Sus scrofa: one gene and its partners. The protein of the gene in region 1 interacts with the protein of each later gene in a pairwise test. Links are inferred from orthologs where the notes say so. Each region holds a gene or a part of one and is shown in the gene's direction. Other genes may lie near its edges.

What was found.
Region 2: the proteins of NDEL1 (region 1) and TRAF3IP3 interact in binary tests that used the Homo sapiens proteins (3 or more experiments, as listed by UniProt). The two-hybrid records come from large-scale screens. The link is inferred for Sus scrofa from reciprocal best matches to the Homo sapiens genes NDEL1 and TRAF3IP3.
Region 3: the proteins of NDEL1 (region 1) and PKP2 interact in binary tests that used the Homo sapiens proteins (3 or more experiments, as listed by UniProt). The link is inferred for Sus scrofa from reciprocal best matches to the Homo sapiens genes NDEL1 and PKP2.
Region 4: the proteins of NDEL1 (region 1) and CCSER2 interact in binary tests that used the Homo sapiens proteins (3 or more experiments, as listed by UniProt). The link is inferred for Sus scrofa from reciprocal best matches to the Homo sapiens genes NDEL1 and CCSER2.
Region 5: the proteins of NDEL1 (region 1) and CEP63 interact in a two-hybrid assay, tested with the Homo sapiens proteins (2 studies listed by BioGRID and IntAct). The link is inferred for Sus scrofa from reciprocal best matches to the Homo sapiens genes NDEL1 and CEP63.
Region 6: the proteins of NDEL1 (region 1) and CEP170 interact in a two-hybrid assay, tested with the Homo sapiens proteins (2 studies listed by BioGRID and IntAct). The link is inferred for Sus scrofa from reciprocal best matches to the Homo sapiens genes NDEL1 and CEP170.
Region 7: the proteins of NDEL1 (region 1) and MLLT10 interact in a two-hybrid assay, tested with the Homo sapiens proteins (2 studies listed by BioGRID and IntAct). The link is inferred for Sus scrofa from reciprocal best matches to the Homo sapiens genes NDEL1 and MLLT10.

What each region holds. Positions count from the first base shown.
Region 1 is NC_010454.4:53,611,804-53,615,303, forward strand, and holds part of NDEL1 (nuclear distribution protein nudE-like 1), read left to right. Parts: intron 1-621; 5' UTR 622-633; coding exon 634-719; intron 720-3,396; coding exon 3,397-3,500. UniProt on the Homo sapiens protein: Required for organization of the cellular microtubule array and microtubule anchoring at the centrosome. May regulate microtubule organization at least in part by targeting the microtubule severing protein KATNA1 to the centrosome.
Region 2 is NC_010451.4:133,211,409-133,215,660, reverse strand, and holds the start of TRAF3IP3 (TRAF3-interacting JNK-activating modulator), read left to right. Parts: upstream 1-1,452; 5' UTR 1,453-1,674; intron 1,675-4,252. UniProt on the Homo sapiens protein: Adapter protein that plays essential roles in both innate and adaptive immunity. Plays a crucial role in the regulation of thymocyte development.
Region 3 is NC_010447.5:41,423,527-41,427,486, forward strand, and holds the start of PKP2 (plakophilin-2), read left to right. Parts: upstream 1-1,160; 5' UTR 1,161-1,383; coding exon 1,384-1,606; intron 1,607-3,960. UniProt on the Homo sapiens protein: A component of desmosome cell-cell junctions which are required for positive regulation of cellular adhesion.
Region 4 is NC_010456.5:85,613,630-85,617,129, forward strand, and holds part of CCSER2 (serine-rich coiled-coil domain-containing protein 2), read left to right. Parts: intron 1-2,862; coding exon 2,863-2,994; intron 2,995-3,500. UniProt on the Homo sapiens protein: Microtubule-binding protein which might play a role in microtubule bundling.
Region 5 is NC_010455.5:75,703,541-75,707,040, forward strand, and holds part of CEP63 (centrosomal protein of 63 kDa), read left to right. Parts: intron 1-810; coding exon 811-1,090; intron 1,091-3,054; coding exon 3,055-3,213; 3' UTR 3,214-3,500. UniProt on the Homo sapiens protein: Required for normal spindle assembly.
Region 6 is NC_010452.4:16,188,348-16,192,624, reverse strand, and holds the start of CEP170 (centrosomal protein of 170 kDa), read left to right. Parts: upstream 1-1,477; 5' UTR 1,478-1,758; intron 1,759-4,277. Other genes in the region: SDCCAG8 (serologically defined colon cancer antigen 8), read right to left, coding at 578-644.
Region 7 is NC_010452.4:53,084,850-53,088,349, reverse strand, and holds part of MLLT10 (protein AF-10), read left to right. Parts: intron 1-2,691; coding exon 2,692-2,846; intron 2,847-3,500. UniProt on the Homo sapiens protein: Probably involved in transcriptional regulation. In vitro or as fusion protein with KMT2A/MLL1 has transactivation activity. Binds to cruciform DNA.

The sequences.
Region 1 (3,500 bases):
CTCTGTGAACGCCTTGGGAGGAGAACCGAGATGAAAGAACATTGAAGTTGGAGGACTGGTGCATTTATGGAGACAGCTTGGGACCTAAAAGATAATTAACAAGAAATTTTTAGAAATGTAATGATAGCAAATTATTGGGAATGTGGTGCCTGATCTAGTAAGGTCACCAGGCATAAAATGTTTCAAGCAGGTGTTTGGAACCGATTGTACCCCAGAGAAGGGCATGCGGTAACGGCAACTGTGATAATAAACGTGTTTCTGTCACCTGGTTCTCAGATCAGTGGCCGTAAGCCAACCGCTAGAGCCCGGTGCAGGATGACTGTATGGGGCCAGCTCCCCAGAACCTAGTGCTGTGACCACAGGTGCTTCATGTGGCTTCAGTGACTCTTTTCTTTTTTCATCTCCTCTCCTGACCCCGTCTGCGGTGCTGTGGTCCCTGAGAGTGGGATAGTGAAGTGATTTGTGTGTCTGAGTTTGTTGTAATAGAGAGTTAACCATTCTTAGAATCTTTTATGTTTGACTCCCTCCGAAATGCTGCAGATTTTGTGTTGTCCCAGATTTTATTCTTTTACTAAGATTCCTGTGTTCTCTGTTAATTTTTTTGTCTTTGCTATTTCACAGGCTTTCTTGATCATGGATGGTGAGGATATACCAGATTTTTCAAGTTTAAAGGAGGAAACTGCTTATTGGAAGGAACTTTCCTTGAAGTATAAACAAAGGTAATGTTGAGGAGCGTCCTCGGCACAGGCGAGGGCTTGAGTACGTCGTCTCTGGCTTGTCCTTTTTTTTTTTTTAAACAGAGCTAAATTTTGGATTAGAAATAGAATTGCAGATTTAGGATTGAATTTCTAGAAATAGTCATAACATTGTATTTAAGTAATAAAAAATGCTGTAAATCCTTGCATTATTTGGATTATTAAACTAGTGAGGAAGCATTTGTTCCTACTGGTAGGGACAGTGCCAGTCATTTGTGATTTCTTCTGGCAGTTAACCTTCTTTTATGCTTAGTACTACGCTTGGCCATCTTTGGTCTGCTCGGTGTGCACTGATGCTGCCTCATCGTTTTGGTCTTTTGTGGAGACCGTCTAGGCCTCCATAGCGCAGTGTTAGCAGTGTCTGGAGCCAGCGAAAAGCTTGGAGGGAGGGACAAGAGCTTCGGGGTATGTGGAGCATTTTAAAACATCTCAGTTATTTCAGTTAGCTGGGAAACTTTTTTTTTCCCCCCCTGCATTTTAGGGCCTCACCCTTGGCATATGGGAAGTTCCTAGGCTAGGGATTCAATTGGAGCTGTAGCTATAGGCCTACGACACAGCTCAGCAACTCAGGATCTGAGCTGTGTCTGCTACCTACACCACAGCTCGTGGCAACACCAGATACCTAACTCACTGAAAGAGGCCAGGGATCAGACTCCCATCCTCATGGATACTAGTTGGGTTTGTTACCACTGAGCCACGCCTGGGAAACCTTTTAGATAACCTTTTTTTTTTTTTTTTAAAAGCACCGAAACTTAAATTTCTTTTAAAAATGTAATCTTTCTAAAACATATATATGTACACACATTTATATGTGCGTATATATATATACATTTTCCTGCCTTGGTTGACAGTTTACTAAGACTCAGTAAACATTTTACTGCAGTTTCATGGTCACTGTGGAAGCCAGTTACTCTGTCTGCCATTGGGTGTGGAAGGTGTGAATCTATGGCAGGAGTTGTTAGTCTTTCTCTTGTGCTGTAGTTGCTTAAATAGGCTGAGGAAGCCTATGGAACCCTTCTCAGAGTAACGTTTTTATGTATTTATTTATTTTTTATTTTATGTCTTTTGAGGGCCGCATCTGAGGCATATGGAGGTTCCCAGGCTAGGGGTCTCATGGTAGCCGTTGCTGCCGGCCAATCCCACATCTGAGCCGCGTCTGCGACCTTCACCACAGCTCACAGCAGTGCCGGATCTTTAACCCACTGATCGAGGTGAGGGATTGAACCTGCAACCTCATGGCTCCTAGTCAGATTCGTTTCCACTGAGCCACGACGGGAACTCCAGAATAACATTTTTTTTTTTTTTTTTTTTTTTTGTCTTTTTGCTATTTCTTTGGGCCGCTTCCGCGGCATATGGAGGTTCCCAGGCTAGGGGTCTAATCAGAGCTGTAGCCGCCGGCCTACGCCAGAGCCACAGCAATGCAGGATCTGAGCCGCATCTGCAACCTACACCACAGCTCAGAGCACCGCCGGATCATTAACCCACTGAGCAAGGACAGGGACCGAACCCGAAACCTCATGGTTCCTAGTCGGATTCGTTAACCACTGCGCCACGATGGGAACTCCAGAATAACATTTTTTTTTTTTTTTGCTATTTCTTTGGGCCGCTTTTACTGTTCACAGGATATTTATTTATTTTGTCTTTTTGCTATTTCTTTGGGCCGCTTCCGAGGCATATGGAGGTTCCCAGGCTAGGGGTCTAATCGGAGCTGTAGCCACCGGCCTACGCCAGAGCCACAGCAACGCGGGATCCGAGCCGCGTCTGCAACCTACACCACAGCTCACGGCAACGCTGGATTGTTAACCCACTGAGCAAGGGCAGGGACCGAACCCGCAACCTCATGGTTCCTAGTCGGATTCGTTAACCACTGCGCCACGACGGGAACTCCTGGAATAACATTTTTTAAATGCGTACAATTAAAGAATAGAATTACAGAGGAAACCAATTATATGAAAATGCATGTCTAAATATTAATCTGTGGATAGTAATACGTTAAATAAGAAGGGTGGGGTGAGTGTATAAAATGCGAATCCTTTTGAGACTTTTACTTTTTAAACATTTTTATGGCTGCACCCTTGGCATATGGAAGTTCCCAGGCAAGGACTGAATCTGAGCTGTAGCCGTGGCGATGTCGGGAACCTTCAACCCACTGTGCTGGGCTGGGGAGTGAACCCCTATCTCTGCAGTGACCTGAGCCGCTGTGGTTGGATTCTTAACCACCAGCTCCACAGAGGGAACCCTGAGGCTTATAACTTACTTTCACTGAACTCTGAATGTAGAGTAAGAGATGCAAAGTAGATTGTCTTTATTATTTAACATATTTTATGGTAACACCGTGTTCAGGCAAAAATTATTAAATTGATGCATAGTCATCTTCTTTAAGATGATTCTTTTTTTTGCATTTTAGGGCTGCACCCTCGGCATATAGAAGTTTCCAGGCTAGGCATCCAAGCTGTGTCTGCAACCTATACCACAGCTCACGGCAGCGCCAGATGCCTGACACACTGAGTGAGGCCAGGGGTCTAACCCGCATCCTCATGGATACTAGTCAGATTCGTTTCTGCCATGCCACAACGGGAACTCCCCAAGGATTCTTATGATTCCTTCTATAAGTGATCTTTCCCACTTTGTTTCTGATTAGCTTCCAGGAAGCTCGGGATGAGCTAGTCGAATTCCAGGAAGGAAGCAGAGAATTAGAAGCAGAGTTGGAGGCACAATTAGTACAGGCTGAACAAAGAAATAGAG
Region 2 (4,252 bases), on another chromosome or scaffold:
GTATGCCAACCTTATTAACTGTATTTTCCTCAGGACATAGTGCTAAGAGCTCAAGCTCTGATGTCAAGCAAACTTGCGTCACCTTGAGCTCACCTTTCCAAACCCCAGTTAAAGTAGATGTGGTAGCCCAGTGAATGCATAGCCCTGGGGAGTTCCCTGGTGGTCCAGTGGTTAGGATTTGGCACTTTTACCACTATGGCTTGCATCCAATCCCTAGCCTGGGAACTGAGATCCCACAATAAGCTGCTGGAAACTGCAGCCAAAAAAAAAAAAAAAAAAAAGAAGACTGCACAGCTCTAGAAGGGATTTCATTCTCTGTACACATTTCTGATTTTTAATGGAGCCCAAATAACCCTGGTCCCCGGGAACTCCTATTACAATCGTCTGTCCTCTCTTAGGCTCTAGGGTCCTGAACCCCCAGAGCCCTCTCACACTTCTGCGCCTATAACGGACTCTTATCCTGCCATCGTGGGCGCCCCGACCCCTCTGTCCTCCGCTCATTCTCATCTCCGAGTGTCGAGCTCCAGGCCCAGGCCCTTGCGCTCCGGTCCCTCATCCTGAGAGAATGTCGTCGGAGGGTCCGGCCCCGGCCCTTTGCCTGCCTCCTCCTTGTTCTTTGTCCCCCCAGAGAATGGAGGCGGTGCGGGCAACGGCCAAGGCTGCGCCGCGCTCCCCACACGCGCGTCGTTGTTACAGCAGTTATTTCAAAGGCTCACCACGTGCCTCACATGGGACGTCTGGGGCTTCATGGGAACCGTGTCAGTCACCCACTCAGACACCGAGGGGCCATTCAGACGCGGTGGATTGCACAAGGCCACACAGGGGCTCGGCCAGCTTGTCCTCGTCCGGCTCCTGGCCACCACGGGATCCTGAACTTCTTGGGGATTTCCTGCCTATAATATGTGTAAGTTTCCTTTTAAGGCACAAACAAATTCCTTTCCGTTTTCCCCCAGATTTCCTAGTTCAATGAAATACTTTTTTCAGCTTCTGCCCACTGTTGCTCCCTTTGCCCCCCAGCCCCCACCTGTCCCCTCGGCCGACTCCCGGCCCACTCCCTGAGAAAGGAGCGAATTCGGAGCTGGTCTCACGTCAGAAGTCTGGAAGACACCAGACTTTAGAAGAGCAAAGACCCTTCACTACAGCAGGACTGCAAAGAGGGAGCTAAAGGAAAGAGCAAATCCTCCCCAGAGAACGAGCTGATACACCTGAAAACCTACACAGGGGACACCTCTTCTGGGTCAAAAGGCATTTTTCTTCCCCACACAGAGACTACAAGGTTTGAGTCTGACCAGTGACCCATCCTGGTGTCATCCTGGAAAGGATTTTGACTCGAAATTGTCCAAGAGCGCAGACCGATCGAGTAGCAAGGGAGAGGGTGGCGGTGGTGCCCGGGGGTGGGAGGAGTCCCGAGCTCGGGCCTGTGAGCCTCAAGGGGTCAGGGGCCCCTCAGATCGCGCCAGCGAGCAGGAGAGGAACTGGGGTGAGCAAGTGCCGTGGCTGTGGCTGCTTCCTGTTTCAGCAAGGCAGCTGCGTAAAAGGCGAGAGAACCTCGAAGGGAAATGCTGAGGGGCCCAGAGCCACGGACTGAGATCACCCCACCCGAGGCCAGAGCCGAGGTCTGCCCGTAGCCGGGATGCTTTCCTGAGCTGCTGGCGCTGCAGCCGGGGACCCGAGGTAACGGACAAGGAGGAGGCATTTGCGTCCAGGCTGGGGGCCCCCGACGCTGGGTGGGGCAGAAGAGGCTCTGGCTGCCAGCCTCCCCGGGCTGTAAGGAGAGGCCCTGGAGTGGACGGTGTAGGTTAGGAGTGTGGGGCTGAGTAACCTGGAAAGTGCCCTGTGTTGGTCTCCAGGGGCACAGTGTCCGGGGCTCTCTGCTCCATCCATCGGATTACACTGGCGGTGAGGCAGTGACCTGGGGTTCAGGCTCCCCAGTGACGGGGCAGACATTTTACAGCTCCCTTCACAGCAGGGACCCAACAGCACGAAGCTGCCTTTGCAGCCGCTGGGCGCCAGCCCTCCTCTCCCAGCTCACACCGAGAGCTCTGGACTAGGCAGGCTAGTCCATTCATTCATGCAGGAGGCCATGCATCACACACACAGCCAGGAAGTAGAAGCAGAGACCTGGAAAGGCAGCGACAGAGAACTGTCAGGCGAGGACAGTGTCCTGATCCCCTGGCAGTGAGGACAGCCCCCATGCCCCATCCCCCAGCCAGTACCACGTCGTCCCAGGGCTGCAACTGGGCCCTGCCATGCCGCAAGAGCTGCCTGGGCAGTGGCCCAATGACCTTTTTTGAACCCCACAGGGGCCAGTTCCTTTTTTCCTACAGCCCATCTCGGTCAGTCAGCCGACCCACGTGGCATCTTGTGTTTAAGCAAATCAGGAAAGCTGAGTATGATCCCACTTAGCTGTGCCATGCCAAATCCCACCTGCTGTGAGGGCCTGGGGGTCTGGAAAGGCTCCCTTCTTGAAAGAGCCTTTTCTACTGCAACTCCCAGCCTGGGCAACAAGTGCCAATGTCTGTGCCCGGGAAGCAGGGCAGGGCAGCCATGTGTTCCAGCGAATCAGTGTAGGCACGGCCGGCACACTTTGCTCTCCACACAGCCCTCCCCTCTTCACAGTGGGAGGTTGAAGGATTCTTCACAATCAAGAGGCCTGCCTCCTCTACAGAGCCTGAGGGTGGCCTGGAACCAAACAGGGAGGCGACCCAGCACCCCACATCTTAAAGGTGGGATGCAGGCAGCCTGGACACCCGTCCTTCACCCCCCTCTCCTTTCCTTTCTGCTGGGCCTAATGTTGCTGGCAGGTGAGCCCAGACCAGAGGGGCCTTTCTCCCTGCAGCCCGCACCCAGAAGTCAGAGGAACAGAGCAGCAGTAAATATGATTTCAGCCCCGGGGCCAGCATCCCCTCCACGCGGTCAGCAGGACTCCTTCAAAGAGAGAGTGGTCGGGGGGCTGGAGGATGAGGCATTCTTGGTCCTAGAGTGCTGGTTTGCTTCGGACCCTTGTCTTATAGCACTGAGTCCTCAATATCCAAGATCGGTAGCACTGGGATAGTAAAAACCATACTATTATAAAAAGCTAATGTTTATTACATGCTACGGCCCAGAGGCTTGATGTGTATTTTTCTTTAATCCTCAGAACCTTGTGAGTTAGGCTGCCACTTTACAAGTGAGGAAACAGAGATGCAGAGACGTGTAATAGCTGGTTCAAAAGCATGTGGGTAGCCGCTGACAGAGCCAGGACAGGAGTCCCCAGAGTCTGAATCCAGGGTCGGGGTTCCCCGCTTCCCACATCTACAGCAGAGCAGCCGAGACATGGAGTGTACCTGCTTGTGCAGTCATTCCTGATTTAATCTGAATGAGCCTCTCCCATCCTTTCCTAAGTGTTTAAATGATGAAAGTAGCAGGTGGGAAGTGAGCAGGTGTAAGTGCAGGAGTGAGGAGAAAGCCTAAAGAAAGGGCAGGGGCACCAGCGGTGGACCAGGCACTGTCCATGTCACAGCCCCGCCGAGAGCAGAGGGTGGCCCTCTAAGCCTGGAGAGTCAGGTGCTGGAGAGCGGACGGGGCCTGACTGCATACGACCCCCGTCAGCGTGCGAGACTGCCTCACCCCTGGGCGGGCAGAAAGGGCACACGGGCTGCTACCTGTTGAGTCTGTTTGACCCATAAATAAACCCAAGGGGCCAGAGCCGGCAAATGCCTGCTGGTTGGTGAAGCTGAGACACCCTTCTCTGACCTACCCAGGAAGTGGGTTCCCCGAGTGGGGCACAAAGAGAAGCGGCAGCTGGAAGGGAGAGTCCTTCTTCCCTCATCAGTCTCTGGTCTGACCCCAGGGATCAGTGGAGGCAGGCGTCAGGGTTTCCTGGGCTCAGAATCCAGCTCAGCCAGGTCCAGCCCCAACTCAGCCAAGCTACCAAGGGTTCTAGGAGAATCAACACATTTGCAGAAGGGAGGGGAGAGAGAGGAGGGGGAGAAGGCAAGAGAGAGAATGGCACAGAGACAGGAGAGGGGATGAGATTTGGGCTAAATAGGGTAAGGCCCTGTTGAGGGGCAGCAAGTGGGGCCTCTACATCGAGCCTGGTTCCCTGGGGACTTCTGGTTACTGTTTTTTGTTTGCTTGCTTTTGTTTCACTTTCATTGGCAGCAGTCTCCTGCAGGTATAATCCAAGTGGGTGCTGGCTTCCAAGGACAATCTGCACCTCGGCTGAGGAAGGCAGACTTGGCCCCTAACAGGGAGGTGATTTAAAAAAAAA
Region 3 (3,960 bases), on another chromosome or scaffold:
ATTCCCTGTAAGGCCTTATACCTGTGTAGTAAGCGTGTGTGTAAAGATAGAAGGGTATGTCACAGGAAAACGGGGAATGGGGGAGTTGTGTTCCCCAGCCACGTCGAACTTGAATAAATGGGGTTCCGTAAATACCGAGTGATTTGAAGGAAAGTGGACATACAACCCGAAGCAATCAAAGGGAAGGCTATCTTACTTAATACTGGGGATAGATGTTTTTCTTTCTGCCTCTCAGGTCCAAAGCGGGGAAGAAGGACCAGTGGCTTAGGTTGTAAACCTTAAGGTTAAGGACTCTTTCTGTTGAGCATAGCTCTCAGCAGTCAACTAAATGTGAAACGTTTAAATAGCAAGGTAAGTATACCTTATGGAAGATAAGACTGAAAGAGCTCCACCAGCAGGACCCCTACACAGAGCCTACCATAAAGAGGGCTTAATCAACTCTAGAAGGACTGTTAAAGTATCACCTACTGAAAGTGTGCTCTTTCCCAGCACCTCTTATTGGAGTTTCTCTATGTGGGTGTGATCCTAAGAGAGGAGTGGGTGAGAAAGAGAGTGTGCTGGGTACAATTTGTGTATATGCAAGAGAATACCGAAACTCTCAATGAGGAATAACATATGTTTCTAGGAGTGCATCTGTGCAAAAAAGACACGGTCCCCGAAATTGTGCTAAGGGGGATAAAAACCCTATTTTAAAAAGTTTTTATTTTACACATGTCATCTTTTTGTCATATTTCCTCCTACTGTCTTGTCCGCCTGATCAAACAGCCCTTTCCCACCTCAGGTCCATGAAACATTTCGAACAGTCTGACAGCCTGACAAACCAGACAGACTACTCACTCGGGGATCCCAGAGGCAAACCTCGGCCCGAGAGCAGAAGTGACTCCAGGGCGCACCTGCCTGGAGGTCGTCCTTCGTCCATCCAGCGGAAATTACAAGGATTCGTAGGGCAGGGCCGAGGCCCGGCAAGGCATTGAGAGCCAGTAGTAGCAGGCCGGACCCGCAGGATCCAAGGTGACCTGGAGAGTGTGCACGACCAGGGGCGGACTGAGCCCTCTCCCGCTTCCCTGCGGTGAGTTCATCTCGCCAGGTGTCGGCGCGCGCGGCCGGCCTGCCCCCCACTCCCCAGCCGAGTGCGCCTGCCCGGTTGGAGCCGCGCCCAGTTCCCGGGTGAAGGCCGGGCGCCTGGCGCCCCAGGCCGCGCTCCCGGGAGCTCTGGCCTCTCACCGGCGGGGAGGCGGGGCCGGAGGAGGGGCTGGGACGGTGGGGTTGGGCCGGCGGGATTGGGCCGGCGGGGCGGGGTTCGCGCCCAGTGCCCGGGACTCCGCAGCAGCTTCCCCTGCAGGTCTCCAGCAGGCGAGCGGCTCGGTCGCCCTCTCCAGCCCCATGGCAGCCCCTGGCTCCCCGGCTGAGTGCGGCTACATCCGGACGGTCCTGGGCCAGCAGATCCTGGGGCAGCTGGACAGCTCCAGCCTGGCCCTGCCCTCTGAGGCCAAGCTGAAGCTGGCAGGAAGCAGCGGTCGCAGCGGCCAGGCGGTCAAGAGCCTCCGGATCCAGGAGCAGGTGCAGCAGACCCTGGCCCGGAAGGGCCGCAATTTCGTGGGCAACGGTGAGTAAAGCCCTGCCGCCTTCTGCATCGCTCTCACCGTGCCTTTTACCCATTCCCTACTCCTTCCTCACCCTCAGTGCCCAGTTGCTTGGACTCCCTTCTTACTGAAGGTGCGAGACCTGGTGTTCTGCCCACCTGTTGCTCGCCAGCCCATTGTACGACCTGTCGCGCCTTCAGACTCAGACCAGCTTACTTGGGGAAAGCATTCTTCTTTTTTAAAAATAACCTCTTACTCACCCTTGTCATCTATGTCTATTAAATGCATATGTATGTATGGAAAGAATTCAGTCCAAGATTTTCACCCCTCCCTTAACCTGCTTCCCTAAGCCCTCCACCCCCACCCCGGGGACTTCATCTGTAGGCTCTGAGAGTCTGTAAACACTTTGAAATTCTGTGCAGAAATGTGGTATGTTCATTTTTCTGGAAGAAAGTGCCTCTAGCTTTTATTTAAAATTTTAAAGGATCTATGACCCCCATAAATATTTTTTAAAAAGAAAACCTGAAAGTACTGGTTTTCTGCAAGCTGTATATTGGGATTGTGGTGCCTCGCCCAGGTACCTGGGGGCACTCCACCCAGTGTACGGAGCGAGTGGTTGATCTAGGAAATGAAAAGATTGGGTAGGAGGCTTTGGGCTGGGGAACAATCACACCACCCCGCGGATGAGGAGGAGGAGAAGAAAGGGGACTTTGGCCCCGCCAGCAGCAGCCCCTCCCGCCTCGCTGCGCCCTACCAACGCACTTGTAAGCACAGCGCTGGTATCTCCAAAAAAATTAAGCTTGGAGGTGAACGAGTTTGAAAAAATAGTAGTCCTTATATTAGGTGTTTATTTTTTCATTTTAAAAGTATTATAAGTTTATTGTGGAAAAGAGAAGGGGAAAGAAATTGAACAATTAAATTGGGTTTTTTGTTATTTCCTGCAGTGTTGAACTGTTTCTCTGGGAAGTTAACCTGGGCAATGGTAAATGTAGAGCCTATAAGGAAAAAGAAAAATGCTTGCAGACCAGATCAGAGAGTTAAAACAGCCGACCTTGGGAGGCTCTATTGTTTTCCCTTTGTGTAAAAGAATCAGGCAATCAAGACTTAATTACTTAAAGGGTAAAGAGAAGATATTTAATGGTTATAGTTGATGTACTTGTGTGCTTTCTATGTGCCAGGAATTGGACTGTATGATTTGCATTCATTGTGTTATTTACGTTTCTAGGGGAAAAAAAAAAAAAAAAAAAAAAAAGCTTGTGAGGTAGTCCTTTAATCCCCATCTCACAGATGAGGAAACTAAACAGTTAAGTGACACTCAAGTTCCCACAGATTTTAAGTAGCAACTGATAGTATTTATTTATTTATTTATTTTTTGTCTTTTGTCTTTTTTGTTGTTGTTGTTGTTATTGTTGCTATTTCTTGGGCCGCTCCCAGGGCATATGGAGGTTCCCAGGCTAGGGGTTGAATCGGAGCTGTAGCCACCGGCCTACGCCAGAGCCACAGCAACGCGGGATCCGAGCCACGTCTGCAACCTACACCACAGCTCACGGCAACGCCGGATCCTTAACCCACTGAGCAAGGGCAGGGACCGAACCCGAAACCTCATGGTTCCTAGTCGGATTCGTTAACCACTGCGCCACGCCGGGAACTCCAGCAACTGATAGTATTTAAACTCCCAAGCCTGATTTTGTAGCAACTGGTAGTATTTAAAATCCCAAGCCTGATTTTTTTTTTTTTTTTTTAATATGAGGGCCGCACCCTTGTTATATGGAAGTTCCTAGGCTAGGGGTAGAATCGAAGCTGCGCCTGCTGCCTATGCCAACAGCCACAAGCACACCAGATCCGAGCCACATCTGTGACCTACACCGAACCTTGCAGCAATTCCAGATCCTTTCCTATCACTGAGCCACAACGGGAATTCTGCAAGCCTGAATTTTTATTTATTTACTTACTTACTTACTTACTTTTGTCTTTTTCTAGAGCCAGCTCCCGCGCCATATGGAGGTTCCCAGGCTAGGGATCCAACCGGAGCTATAGCCGCCGGCCTACGCCAGAGCCACAGCAACCCGCGGGATCCGAGCCGCGTCTGCAACCTACACCACAGCTCCCGGCAGCGCCGGATCCTTAACCCACTGAGCAAGGCCAGGGATCGAACCTGCAACCTCATGGTTCCTAGTCAGATTCCTTAACCACTGCACCAGGATGGGAACTCCAAGCCTGAATTTTTAAACCACTCATCAGTTATATTGTTAAGCTTTTTGGTAATTAATATGAAATGGGATTTTTATTAGATCTTAAGCCCCTTATAGCCCCTTCCTATTTTCCTTTAAATAAAATTGAGATAGTTCTGAGAGATTGGTAAGGTCTCAATGACACA
Region 4 (3,500 bases), on another chromosome or scaffold:
AAAAATTGGCAGAAGATAAAATACTTGCCATTTCCCAAAACAAATGACCACAGATTCCTTCTACACAGTGTATTTTGAGGGACTAGTGATTTGTTGATCTTCCACACTTGTTATTTTCATTGTGAAGAGAGAAATGTACAACATTCTTGGGGGTTGCTAATCTGACTGATTTAGCATAGAACTCCCCAGCAAGTGGACTGACACGCAATGGTTTGTTATGACTAATTATAGGTTAACCAGTTTATTAATCCCCTCAGGCTCTTGGGTGGCTGTGCAGGATTGGGACTTGCTAGATTTCTCAGAGCCCATTATGGGGATGGGTGGTAGAGAGAGGAACCTCATCCAAGATAGCCTTACTCCAGCAAACCATACAACAATTATTTTCTTTCAGTTCCTTAATTTTTAAAAGATTTGGATATACTAACCCCAGGGCCTTTTAATATATATGTATAAAAGTTCCTTATCTCTTTCTATGACTTCTTGAGTGTTGCTAGTTCCCTTTCCTTCTGTCCTTCAATTCTCATCTTTATTATAAGATTATGTCTTATCTACAACTCAGAGGACTGGTGGTTCAGAAACACTGATCTACTTTATCTATATTTTTGTCAGTAGTGCTTTTTCTTTTCACCTGATCCAAGCTTTCACTCTTTTCTCCCCAGACCTTCCCTTTTCCACTAAGCCATGTCAGATTTTCTCACGTCTTAACAAACCCACATCCTGGATCTCTTCACCTACATTCTCCTGCTTGTAACTTTTTCCTAAATGTACTAATTCTTCAGTAGCATTCTTACATAAAAGATTCTTATTTTCCAGTGACTCCAGTGCTTTACTGTTTAGAGGTGAAGTCTTTTTCTTCACTTTTCTTCGTCACTTCTAAATGAAATATTCTTAAGCCTCTTTCCTTTGACACTTAGGGCATTTGGCTGTACCAGCTCTTCCTTAATGGTCCCTGTCCCTATCTCAAAAATCTTACCCTTGGCTCCCTTTCCCTCTTCATTATAGGCTTTGTTACAACCCTGAGTGTAGCCTCCAGTGTTCATGCACATGATGCATTTAACCTTCTGCCTTCCTAGTTCCCTAGTATGTAAGATATGTCATCTGAGAGTAGAGATAGTTTTACTTTTTTCTTTCCAATCTGGATACTTTTCTTTTTTTCCTGCATAATTGCTATGGCTAGAATCTCCAGTACAATGTTGAATAGCAGGGATGAGAGCAGACATTTCTGTCTTGTTTCCAAAAGTAGGAACAACATTCAGTGTTTCACTGTTAAGTATGATATTAGCTGTGGATTTTCATAGATATCTTTATCAGGTTGAGGAAGTTCCCTCCTTTTCATATTTAATTGAGTGTGTTTTTTTAAAATCATGAAATAAGTATTAGATTTTGTCAAATGCTATTGCTATGTCTGTTCAGATAATCATTTTCCTTCCTTCCTTCTTCCTTCCTCCCTCCCTCCCTCCTTCCTCCTTTCCTTCCTTCCTTATGTGTTTTAGGGCCACATGTACAGCATGTGGAAGTTCCCAAGCTATAGGTTGAATCAGAGCTGCAGCTGCTGGCCTACCCCACAGTAACGTCAGTTCTGAGCCACATCTGTGACCTGTACCACAGCTCACAGCAGGGCGGTATCCTTAACCCACTGAGTGAGGCCAGGGATTGAGCCCTCACCTTCATGGATACTAGTTGGATTTGTTTCTGATGAGCCACAATGGGAACTCCTATCTTTTCATTCTCTTAATGTGGTACATGACATTGACTGATTGTCAGATGTGGAACCAACCTTGCATTTCTCAAATAAATCCCACTTGGTCATGGTGTTATATGTTACTCAATTCAATTTGCTGGTGTTTTGTTGAGGATTTTTCTGTATATAGTCATAATAAATATTGGTCAGTAGTTTTCTTGAGATGTCTGTGGTTTTTATATTATCACATAGATTGAATTGGGAAGTGTTTCTCTCATTTCTGTTTTTGGAAGAATTTGTGAAGGTTCTTGTTAAGTCTTCATTGAATGTTTTGTAGAATTCACCATTGAAGTTATTTGGGCCTAGGTTTTTCTTTGTGGCAAGTTTTTTGATTACTAATTTAATCTCTTAGATGTTCTACAGATAGCGGTTAGGTTTTGTTAGTTTGTAGTGTTGTTCAAGTGTTCTATTTCCTTCCTGATATTCTTTCTAGTTGCTCTGTCCATTAATGAGAAGACATTATTGAAGTTTTCAACTTCAGGAATTAACATTGTGGCTCAGTGGAAATGAAACTGACTAGTATCCATGAGGATGCAGGTTTGATCCCTGGCCTCACTCAGTGGGTTAATGATTCAGCATTGCCATGAGCTGTGGTGTAGGTCGCAGATGCAGCTTGGATCTGGCATTGCAGTGCCTGTGGCGTAAGCCAGTGACCATAGCTCTGATTTGATCCCTAGGCTGGGAACTTGCATATGCCGTGAGTACGCCTACCCCCCTCCCCCCCCAAAAAAAGAAAAGAAAACAATGGTGAAGTCTCCAAAGTCAGTATACCTTGTAACCAAGGTCTGATGACAACAAATTATCTTGGTTTGTGTTTATCTGGGATTTAGTTACTCTTTAACATTAAAGGATAGTTTTGCTGGATATAGAATTTTTGGTTAACAGTCTTTTGGGCTTTCTTTTAAACATTTTTTTACCCCTAAGCTTTCTAATGAAAAATTAGCTGTTAATCATACTTCTACATGATAAATCACTTTTTTCTTGCTGTGTTCAGGGTTCTTTATGTTTTCTTTAGCTTTCAACAGTTTAACTATGATGTTTGTTACTCATTTAGTTTATCATATTTTGGAGTTTGTTGAGCTGATGATTAGAAAATGATTTCCTTCAATGCTCTGAACCAGTAAATTTCCCAGCTTTTGCCAAAGGGGCTCTATGTGTGTGTCCAGGGATGCCTTCAACAACCTGATAAGCAGTTTGCAGCACTGCCTTGGCCTTCATTTCCTGCTTGCTCAGAGTCTCAAGGTCAGCCAAAGGTGAGAGATTAAGACCTTCTCAGGTATTTCCTTGGCATGCACACAGCCCTGTACATGTACATGGCCTTCTCTATGCCCAGGAGTATGTTAATGCTTTTCAAAGCCTTTCTTCAACATCTCATTCCTCAATTTTGCCTCTTCTGTTTCTTGGTGATCTTCTTGCTTGCCCCACTGGTATTGATATCTCAGTCAGCTGAGATTTTAAACAATTGCCACTGAATTTTTTTAATTTTTTAATTTTTTTTTTTTAATAAATGTACTAGAGATAAGACAGTTCCGACTGAGGGAACTCTGAATCAGGTCAAATAAAACAACTGCTGAGAATGGCCTTTTTCTAGGGAGGTGTCATTTAGGTCACATAGTATCAGTTCAGTACTTTTGGAGAGTTCTAAACCCAGTTTACCTCCTATCCCACATCCTAAAGATTGCTGAATTTCATAGCTACTGCAGTTGTAAAGTTATTTTCATTCAAGCCACCACAGGGCTAGGAAGATAGACAGGGAAAC
Region 5 (3,500 bases), on another chromosome or scaffold:
ATTTATGGAAATTAAATCTTCATCACAAGACTCTCTACTTAATTCTGAAGTACATTGTGCACAAGTAAAGCTACTATTAGGTAAAAAAATGCAGGGAGTTACATAGCACTTTCATTCAAGCCTCGGTTTTAGACTCTCTGGATGTAGGTATAAACAGCAGCCTTTCCCCCGAGCCTTTTCATGCCCCTCCCACCTCTCCAACCCCACTAGTCCTATAAGAAGTAGAAGTTGACTTTTTATAAACAGCTTCTTTTGTATTTTTGGTCAACTAATGATAGACTGTTACCTAAGAAAACAGCATTCAATGAAATACCACCTGGCTTCAGCTCTTACTGTGTGGCTTCCATAGTTTCCTACCAAGAGTCTTTACTGAAACCCTCACCTCCACTCCCACCTCTGCCCCCCAAATGAGGATAGGTGCCTCTGTGTGCACAGTGCTTCCCTCTGTCCCAGCACCAACCACACTGTTTGTCATCCTTGCTGTATTGTAAGTGTGTGGGGGCGTGGGGCTTGGATATTTGAGGCCCGAGTGATAGATAGAACACCTAGCCTGAGGAACTGCTCATTTTATAAATTATAGCCTTCTCTGCAGTCTGGTCTTGTTTGTTTTTTTTTTTCCGGGCCAGATGTCAAACATGCACCACAGCAGCGACCCCAGCAATAGCAGTGACAACGCCAGATCCATAACCCACTACACTGCCAGGGAACTCCTTGGCCCTGTATTTTTTGCGAACTTCCCACAAGTCTGTTTTAAATGAGAGGAAAGTTGCTACGATGTTTATCTGTTTTGTTTTCTAATCTGCTGTTCAGGCCAGCCCATGGCCAGCACAGGCAGGATGGGATGCAGACTGAGCACTACAAGGCAGGTCTTCACTCTCCAAGAGGACAAGCATCGGATAGCATAGAGCCCCTGTCCAGGGGCCTCAGCCCCGCGAGAAGTCAGATCAGCCCTTGCTGCTCCACCATGTCTCTGCCGTCTAACTTTCTCTCCAAAACTCACTCTCTGCCTTCAGTGCTAGATACAAATGAAACCAATTTTTCTGACACTATCTCTGAGAGTATAAATGACCAAGAAGACTTTATATCTTCGGTATGGAAACTTTTTAATCTTACTAGTTTAATTAGTTTACTTGGTTTCATTTTTTTATTTTAAAGCAGAGATTTTGTTTTGTTTCGTTTTGTTTTTCCCCCTTGCTGCTGGTTTTCTATCTTCACTACCTTTGTTATTCTCATATATTTTTGTCTTAATGTTTTGCTTGTGGAAGACATAGTCAGCTATGATTTCCTATGCATCTTAGGAAATATAAGTGTTAGGTATTCATTTCTTATTAGCCCGAATTGGAAATTCCCTTCCTGTCTTTTTCAGAGAGGATCAATTTTGTGTTGTAATGATGGTTCAAGGAATACCTCTGCCTGCTGAGATAGCCCTGAGGCATAGACAGTGGGGGAGGGAGAAGGGAACAAATGGAAAGGGGTGGGTGGAGGTGGAGGAAGGACTCAGATCTGACGTATCTGGAACATGGACGGGGTGCCACACAGTGGTGGCCCTGTGGGCAGAGGCAGCCCTTTGACCCAGGCTGTCCCCTTTTCTTGCAGCTGCTGCGAGGACTCCACGCCACCATCTCCCTTTCCTTCTGTGCTGGAACCTTCGCCTCTGGCCATTCATTCCCATCACCCTCCCATGGTCCTGTCCCTGTGAAAGTTCTATGTTTTTGACTTTTAAATGTGCCAACAAATCCATGGGAAGGTTTTTTTTTAGCTGTCAAAATAAATCCCCGCTTCACTTGTATATAGTTCTAAAATCCAAAAAAAGTCCTGACAACTAACTATCTTCTTAAGTTTGTCAGCAAAACTTATTTGGCACTAAAACCTGACCTGGCCTAAACTGAATAGGTAATATGTATAGCCAGTGTTTATCCCACTTAGCATTTTACCTCAGAAATATCAATGTATTTGATTATGGATATTACCTGACTCCTCAAGAGTCATGGATTCTGTATTTATAAATTTGCCCCTACTTGCTAAACCATTTGTAATTCCTAAGCCATACTCATAAGCACTTCCACAGTCTTTCATAAACATGTGCAGAGCTGCACAAATTTGAGTCATCAGACTTGCTTGTTTCCAGCTGAAGTCAGTCAAGGCCATGCCCTTTTGTTTCAGCTCTTGTACTGAGATGCCCAGGGGATGGAGATGCTGGGGTGGGGGGCGCAGCACAGCAGAGTGCAAGAAGTTGGATGCTGGGGTTGAACAGGGTTTGAACCCTAACTCTGACATCTTTCGTGGGGTGGCCCTGGGCAAGTCACTAAACACTCTGCACCTTGTTTTCTTTTTTATAAAATAAAGAAAATAGACTCTTACCGGGATGAATTGTTTTTAGGAGTTAGGATTATAATCTGTGTGAAGTGTGAGAGCGTGTGTGTGTGTGTGTGTGTGCGTGTGTGTGTATTTCCCATAAGAGCAGTGTTTCGGTGTGCATTAATTCAGTATTTGAGGTGACTTCATACAAAATGACTACTGCAAATGAGGATCAACTGAATATGACACATGTGACCTTTCTAAAATCTAAATTCTGAAACCAGTGGTTTTAGCAAATTGGGGGCTGTGGATTGAAATTTTGGGGAAAGGAAAATATTGATTTTAACTGGTATCTAATTTATTATAAATAGATTTTCTGTGCTTTAAAATGAAAGTAACATTCAGATTTTAAAAGTCAGTTTGAAATAACAGGAATTAATATCTCTTCTGAGGTATAGAAAGATGTACAAGTCTAACTTGAGAAAGTCTTCAGACCAGTAATATATTTATATGACACTTTATATTTATACAACTTGTGTCAGGAAGGAAAGGGTGTGTGTTAACTTTTGCAGAACTTTTTTTTTTTTTTTTTTTTTTTTTTTTTTACTATTATTAGGATGAAAACAAATATCTCTTCAGAGGAAAATATTTTTTAAAACTCACCTTTTAATATTGCTAGTTAGGAAATATCATGAGTACTATGTCTTAGAAGTATACTATTCAACTTATGTATGTCAAAATGTGTTTCTTTTCAAGTGTCCCTTGCCTCTGTCTCCTCTTGGTTCAATTGCTACAAGATTTTTGGAAGAGGAGGAACTGAGGTCTCATCATATTCTCGAGCGCCTGGATGCCCATATTGAAGAACTAAAACGAGAGAGTGAAAAGACAGTGAAACAATTCACAGCCCAAAAGTAGCCTCCTAAAAAATCACAAACATGGAATAAAAATAAACACTGAGGAGTTACTGTCATCATGAAGTAGCGGCTCTTTGAAAGCATGAACGTATAAAAACCGTGAAGATGAGACTGCTGTGAGGAATCTGAGAAACTGATACTTAGCTCTGAGGTGTTTTCACTGCACTTGTTTGTTTGAAGGACATTTTCCAGCAGTAACTTGTAAATAAACCACTTTGCTAGACTTTTTTTCTCATATTAATATTTATTGTCATAAAATGAGACTTTCTCTTGCTGACTTAAGCGTGA
Region 6 (4,277 bases), on another chromosome or scaffold:
TGCCACTAACCAGCTGGGTCGGCTTTGGCCTAATTTAACCTCCTTGCACCAGGTCCCCAGGTGTAGAAGAGGGTCACTCATAAGACTGTTGTTAAGTTTTAAGTGATTTAATGTGTGTAAATAGCCTGGGCCGCTAAATAGAAGCTGTTGTGACTAAAATAATTATTAGTGTGTTTTTTCCTTGTCCAATAAATCACATCCAACCCAGCATACTATAATTCGAATGTGTAAAAAGAGCGCATCAGAAATGTACTGGATTAAAAAGAGAGATGTAGGGGAAGTGGGCGACACTCATAGAAGCGTCCTAGAGATTTTGCGGGCGTCGGGTGAAAAAGATGCCCAAGACAAGATCAGGGAGTTGGTTCAGGTAACTATGGGAACTATGGGAATCAAGGGAAGCGATGCTGCTTAACCGTAATAACTATTTAGCCTTCCCTCAAAGATCACAGCAACATCCAGCTTCTTCCTCTGCACTCTGGCTTGGGCCGAACCAAGCCGTTAGGAAATGCACCTGGTCAGCTCCCGTCCACGAGACCCTGGTATTAAGGGGTTAGGGCAAAGGTTCGGAGCAACTCACCCCGGAGACTCCGTTGATACTGCCCCAGAATCTCCTCCAGGGTAGAGTTCTCCGAAGATTTCGCCATGCACACACTCGGAGCTCAGAGACGGGAGTTGCGTGGGGTAGTGTCCAGGGTTCTCCTCTCCGAGAATAAGAGGCCCCAGCGCCCCACAGGCGCCCACCCGCTTCCTGCCGCGGCTGTCAACCCGGAGCGCGGAATCCCAGACGCAGCCAGCCGGGCCTCTTCCCACCCACGGGCCCTTGTGGTGGACCTCGGAAATTGTAGTCCTCGTGTTCCGGGATTACTGTCTCAAGTTCCCAGGCGCCCTCCCAAACAAACTACAATTCCCAGAGGGCAACGCGCTCCAAGCTCACGCTTCAGCAGTTTGGCTGCCAGATCTGGTCGCCAAGAGACCGTTTGGAGGCTCCGCCCATTTCTGTAGCGCTGCCTGTCTTGGTCCTGCCTCCATCCCATCGTGTGTTTGGACCATCTGACAGAAAGCACTCACTGAACGCCTTGATTCTTTTAAGTTCGCTAGAATGCAGTTGACCCTTGAGGCGTCTCAAGAACGCAAATAAATTCTACACTCTTCAGCCACAACTTTTGCCAACACCGCCAAATAAATTCTCAGGAAAAAGAAGCTCTGAATCTCCCAAACAGCCTAAATTGTGAAAGCGGCTGACGCTACAAATTTTAGCACACCCAGCTGGCCACCCGACCTCAGTTTGGAGGAGTTGACGCACTGCCCGCTGGGAAATGTAGTCCTTACGGGTTGCGGTCCCAGCTAAAGCCCAGTCCTCCTCATTGTTGAAGCAGGTCTTTGGTGTACGCCTGCGCAGTCGGCAGCTGGCGAGGCCTGTGGGTGAGACCCCCCACACAACCCCTTTTCATTGTCTGTGCTTGGCGCCTGCGCAGTAGAAGTTCGCCGGGACTGGGCCGGAGCAGGGGTAGGGCCGGGCTCTTCGCCCTCTCCCCTGGCGCCTGCGCACTGGGCGGCCGCTCCTTGCCGTTACCGCTATGTGCGGAGCGTGTGTGGAATAACGTTATTGCCCAGCGGCGCGGAGGGGCCAGGAGCTCGATCGCGGCGGCGGCGGCGACGACGAAGACGACGACGACGGGGTGGGGGAGGAAGCTGGCGAGAGACTCACGGGACGCGGCGCGCCCCGCCCCCCGGTCCGGTGCCTCTCAGCAGTGAGGGGTAAGTGATGCACTCTGATGCCGTCGCCGCCGTCTTCCCACATCCTGCTCCTCCGGTTTGCAGCCGGGGCTCGGGCGCGGCCCGCGGCGGGCGGGGTGCGGGCTGGGCGGCGAGGGGCGCTTCCCGTAGGCTCCGCGCGCTGCCCCCGCCCCGGACCCGGGACCCGGCGGGGCCGCCCCTCCCCTCCCCCCCCGCGTCCCCCAGTCCTGCGGCCCGGCTTCCCCGCTTGTGTCCACGTATTGAGTCGTCTGGGCTCTCCCGGCTTTGTGCAGCCGCTCCGCCCAAGCAGTGTGCAGGGGTGCGGGCGGAGCAGTGGAGGGAATGGCTGCGCTGCCGCTGGTGAAGGGATATTTCCCGGTCCGAGCAGCTCGGTGTCGATCCTTATTGTGTGGTTGTTTTGGGGGTGTGGGGTGATTTGGGGGGTCCGGCGAGGAGCCTTTTGGACGCGGTGGGAGGGCGTAGAAGACGTGGTGTCACGCACCCCGCCAGGCGACTGCACCCGCGCAGGCTGTAGCTTGGTAGTAAACCGGGGGAGGAGAAAGTGGCTTCCTGTCGACTTCATTGTCCTGAGATTCAAATGTGGTCTTTGGTATGTGTCCCTTCATTTTATGCAAGGGAAGGAAAAATTAGCAGCTGCCTAACACAGGGCGGGAAGATGTGGGATTTGTATCCCGAGTCATAGAATCTTTGTTTTTTAGTGTGTAGCAGAGTTTTTATTTATTTGGAGAATGTAAAGCTTCTGGAAGACAAGGACAGTGCCTGTCCAAGCCTTGCCAAGGTGATCAATATAAAATTACTAGATGACGATGAAGAATGGACTAGGAAGGGCCTTGACGACGAAGCTGTTGTGTAGCAGGAAAATGAACCGGCGGAATTGTTTTTTTATTGGGTGGGTAACGCATTCGTGTTCCTAAGGGAGGAGGTTAGGAAACATCTTTCCGTTTTGTTTTTTAAGCATGCAAAACAAAAAATAGGCCTGGTACATTTCTTTTTCTGACTTTTTGAACTGATATTTTTATTCTCTTAATGAAAATTCACCCACTTGGGAGAAATGTGGTAAAGTAGGTGATACACTTGATTGAAAACGCATCTCTTAAAATGATTTGATTATTAAGCTTACAATGCATACAACCATTTGCTGGGGTTAAAACAAACAGAAGAGAGATTGAAGGAGAATGGGGAGGAGCAGGTGGAGGACTGATTTGAGAGGAGACAGTTATATTATAAATACAGTATCCAGGTCTGCACTGATATAACCCTGGCTGGGTAGGCTGCAACGGTTTAGGAATTCAGTTCTGGAACTATTACATTGCAAGTTACAAACCATTTTGTATTTTTCTGCCATTATTTTTTAAAAAGTAAAACCAGTGCTGCTTTTACTTTTTCTTAACTTTGTAGATCTTGTAGAATTTTGGTGTTTTAAAGCTGAAGAGTCTAAAAGCACTTAACAGAGACAAGAGGAAGACGTAAAACTTGGAAAGTGAACTGACTTGTGTGTCCAGCCAAAATACTCATGAAAGCCAGAGTCAAATAAAACCAACGTCTCTGCAATGTGAGCTCCCAGCTGTCTCCCCTAGTCCCCCAGCTTTTAGGGAAAGCTTCTCTACAGACTCTTTGAGTTGTCTGTGACAGTCAGGTTCATTGACAGCTCCGTTGTAGCAGTCTAGTCTTTTTCTTTTGAAGTAAAGATAATAATACTAATGATGTAGAACTATAGTTTTATGTATTAACTTAAGGATATAGAAAAAGATACCCTAAGTGGGCTTTTCTTAAAAACAAAAGCTGTTGGAATTTTCCCCCTACTTCTTATTAGTAACCGTATTTTAGTACTGTTGTCTTATATTGTATTTTATAGTATGATCAACTATATATAAACTCTTAAAAATCAAATTGCCACATAACAAGAACCTATGAGGTTTGTTTTTCTTCAGTTAATGAATTTTATTATTTTCAGCTTAATTTACTTTTTAAGGAGAACACTCAAGTTGAACTTTTAATTAAATGTATGCTTTTTTGTTGAAATTGAGTTTGCCATAAATTGCTTATTTGTTGTCTTATACTTTTTAATCCTTTAATTCTACATTGCACTTTAATAGACTTTTTAAAAAAATTAGTATATCATGGACTTCTCTTATGGCCCAGTGGGTTAAGGATCTGGCCTTGTCACTGCTATGGTTCAGGTTCTCTCCTGAGGTGAAATTTTGATCCCTGGCCTGGGATCTTCCATGTGCTGCGAGTGAGCCAAAGCAAAACAAAAGAATTAGTATATCGCTTACATTTCAACTTACTTAAAAAGTAATCTGTAATTAAATTCACCATGTGGAATTATATTAAACTTGAAATTTGTCTTACTGTTAAATTTCATGATGTTCTAAAATGACTTTGTATGGAAATAAATAACCATCTGCATATTTTCCAATTTAGTGTTAGAAGTGAAATTTATATTGTAAAATTATCATACATTATGCCTGTTAATGTAAATATCAAAACACTTTTAAAAAACTCTGTGCTTAAGTGAT
Region 7 (3,500 bases), on another chromosome or scaffold:
AGCGAAGCCAGGAATCGAACTCACAACCTCATGGTTCCTAGTCAGATTTGTTTCTGCTGTACCAAGACAGGAACTCCTATCTTTTTATTAATCTTATTTCACTCTCAACTTCTATACCTTTTTTTAGTTTATTTTCTGTCTTCTAATTTTGTAAACTGCCTCAAGCATGGTATTAGATTGGGTGAGAATGGAGCAGAAAGAGAATGAAGCCCATTCAAGAATCTGTTTTTGGAGTTCCCGTCGTGGCGCAGTGGTTATTAACGAATCCAACTAGGAACCATAAAGTTGCAGGTTCAATCCCTGGCCTTGCTCAGTGGGTTAAGGATCCAGCATTGCTGTGAGCTACGGTGTAGGTTGCAGACACAGCTCGAATCCCACGTTGCTGTGGCTCTGGCATAGGCCGGCAGCTACAGCTCCACTTCGACCCCTAGCCTGGGAACCTCCATATGCCGTGGGAAGTGGCCCTAGAAAAGGTAAAAAGACAACAACAACAAAAAAGAATCTGTTTTCAACTTTGGGAATTTAAAAATTATATTAAAAATTAAAAATTTTATGTGGTGACTGCCATGAATATCAGTGTTGCTCTGTTGCTGGTACCTTTGGGAATGTCTTTTTTTTTTTTTTTTTTGTCTTTTTGCTATTTCTTTGGGCTGCTCCCGCGGCATATGGAGGTTCCCAGGCTAGCGGTCGAATTGGAGCTGTAGCCCCTGGCCTATGCCAGAGCCGCAGCAACGCAGGATCGAGCTGCGTCTGCAACCTATACCACAGCTCACGGCAACGCCGGATCCTTAACCCACTGAGCAAGGCCAGGGACCGAACCTGCAACCTCATGGTTCCTAGTTGGATTCGTTAACCACTGCACCACGACAGGAACTGCGAGAATGTCTTTAACATTAGAGCAATTTGTCCAGTAACCTTTAATTTTGCTATTTGCTAGTGGTGTGTCAGTAGTGACTTTCCTGTACCGTTCCTAGGTGAATGAAAAATAATACTATTATTATTTTTCCTAATTTAAACCTACAGAAAATTAAATATTCTTCTTTTAAAACTAGGAATACGAAGTACGCAAAGATAACACCATCTGACCAATATGTAATTTGTGCTCTGTTACCTCTGTGCTGTTGTATTGTTTTTTTGAAAGAAGAAAGTTTATGGGTTTTTTGGCTCATGTTTAGTGGAGAAAGCAGCTCTGTGTTCCCCTTAATATCATACAAGCTACCCAGAAATTACTCAAGGTTCCTTAGTGCTATTTTGTATTATGTATATAGTTCTTTGTGTTTCATTAGCTGAATGGGATTTAACACACTAAATGGCACTGACCTATTTTTAGCACATATTTCCGTCTTTATATTTCTCTTTAAAAATCAGCCTGAACTGTAATGGCCTAAATTATCCTGACAATAATGTACTCTTTGGAAAAGGATGCAGCACATACACTATATGTAGCACACGATGTTTACATATGGAATAAAAAGCCTCATTTGTTTAACTTATTTAAAGAGATTTTTGCGGAGAAGTGTGTTAGGGCCATGGCAGAGTGCTCACCCAGCTCTGTCACTTAGCAGCCTCATGTCTTTGGACAAGTCATTAATGCCCCATCTCGTTTCCTCAGATAGAAATGGAGCCAGCAAGGCAGGTTTTGACTTCTCACTAGGCTTGTGGTAAAGATCATAGGAGATAATTATGTGGAAACACTTTGGAAACTCTGAAGCCCTTTACGAATGTATTAGGTTAGTGCGGAGGCTGGAGACCAAAAATTGCCACATTTACTAATTTATAACAAAGAGTGGATGAGAGAAAATACAGTGTTCATCTTAATGTAAGCAGTTTTTGTTTTGAAAGAGTTGTTATTTCAAGTACCAATCTAAGACATTTTAGAAAAAATTTGTGTAAAGGGCTCAAATAAAAATTGCTTTGTCTTGATGATGTTCCCTACTACTGAAAATACTTGAAAATAAATATTTTTTATTTTATAACAAAAGATTCCTTCAAAATTGTTAAATATTCCTTGTACTGATATTAGATATTTTGTGGTTGTAAGTTAAAATACTCTCTACATAATTATAATTATGCAGTGTAAATCTTTCTAATTTTGTCTTTCTCCCTTTTGTCTTATAAAGCCGAAGCAAGTTACTTTACAGCCCATTTCAGATTATTGGTGATGTGTTTATATTTTCTAGTCATTTTTAATTATTGAGTATGGCCAGGATTCCCTTGAGGAGTTCCCGTCGTGGCTCAGCAGAAACGAATCTGACTAGTATCCATGAGGACGCAGGTTTGATCCCTGGCCCCGCTCAGTGGGTTAAGGATCCAGCGTTGCTGTGAGCTGTGGTGTAGGTTGCAGAAGCTGCTCTGATCTGGTGTGGCTGTGGCTGTGGCTGTGGCGTAGGCCAGCAGTGACAGCTCTAGTTCGACCCCTAGCTTGGGAACCTCCATATGCCTTGGGTGTGGCCCTAAAAAGACAATAAGTAAATAAATAAATAAAATAAATCCCTTGATTTTTACCATTTGAGGAAAAAGGATGGTAATTACTAAATTTTAGGGTTGGTTATGGTTTTATTGTTCTAGCATAGGCAGCCAGGTGCTAGAAAACTTGTACAGGTGAAGGGTCAGTATAAGATGAGAAATGTGAATGCACCTCCTTTAAAGGGTCTTCCTTCTGTTTAACCTGAGGATTAATGTTTCCAACAGATCCCCGGTAAGCAGCTTACAGATCCGCTATGATCAACCGGGCAACAGCGGTTTGGAAAACCTGCCTCCAGTAGCAGCCAGCATAGAGCAGCTTCTGGAGAGGCAGTGGAGTGAAGGACAACAGTTTTTACTAGAACAGGGCACCCCTAGTGACAGTAAGTATTCTCTTCTTGTCTTTTAAAGAAAGATCAGTAGACGGATGGATGAATGAAAAAGCAGATAGGTGGATAGATGTAGAATCACACTTCATTAAGAGTAGCATTGAAACATTGATACACGTTTTGTGTAATACGGTGAGAGAGTGTGATGTATTGGCTTAATAGAACAAATGCTGCAAGTTTTACTGCTCGAACTGGAATCCTGTTTTTACCTGTTGTTAACACTGTGCTCTTGGGCAAGTTTCTTAAAGTCAGTGTGCTTTAGTTTTCCAGGTGTAGAGTGGGAATAATCATGTACCTATATAACAGTGTTGTTTTGAGAGTTGAACGACGTCAAAGATGTAAAGAACATTGCCTGGCTCGTAGACTTCACTGGCTCTTGCTACTGTTTATAATTATTGAACATTATACTTTGTTTCTCTATTGTCCTTTGTTTTAATCAGTTTTTAAATTTTACCAAAATACATGAGTTATAGCTTCTTTTAGCTTATTTGCTCACCTGGAAAATTTATTTTTTAAAATGCCTTAGGTATGGCCAACTCTATTTTGTAATTAGGATGAGAAAGAATAATAATAAATTACACATATAATTTATATGTATATACACTCTGTCATTTACTTGCTAAGTTATATCGTATATATTACACATAC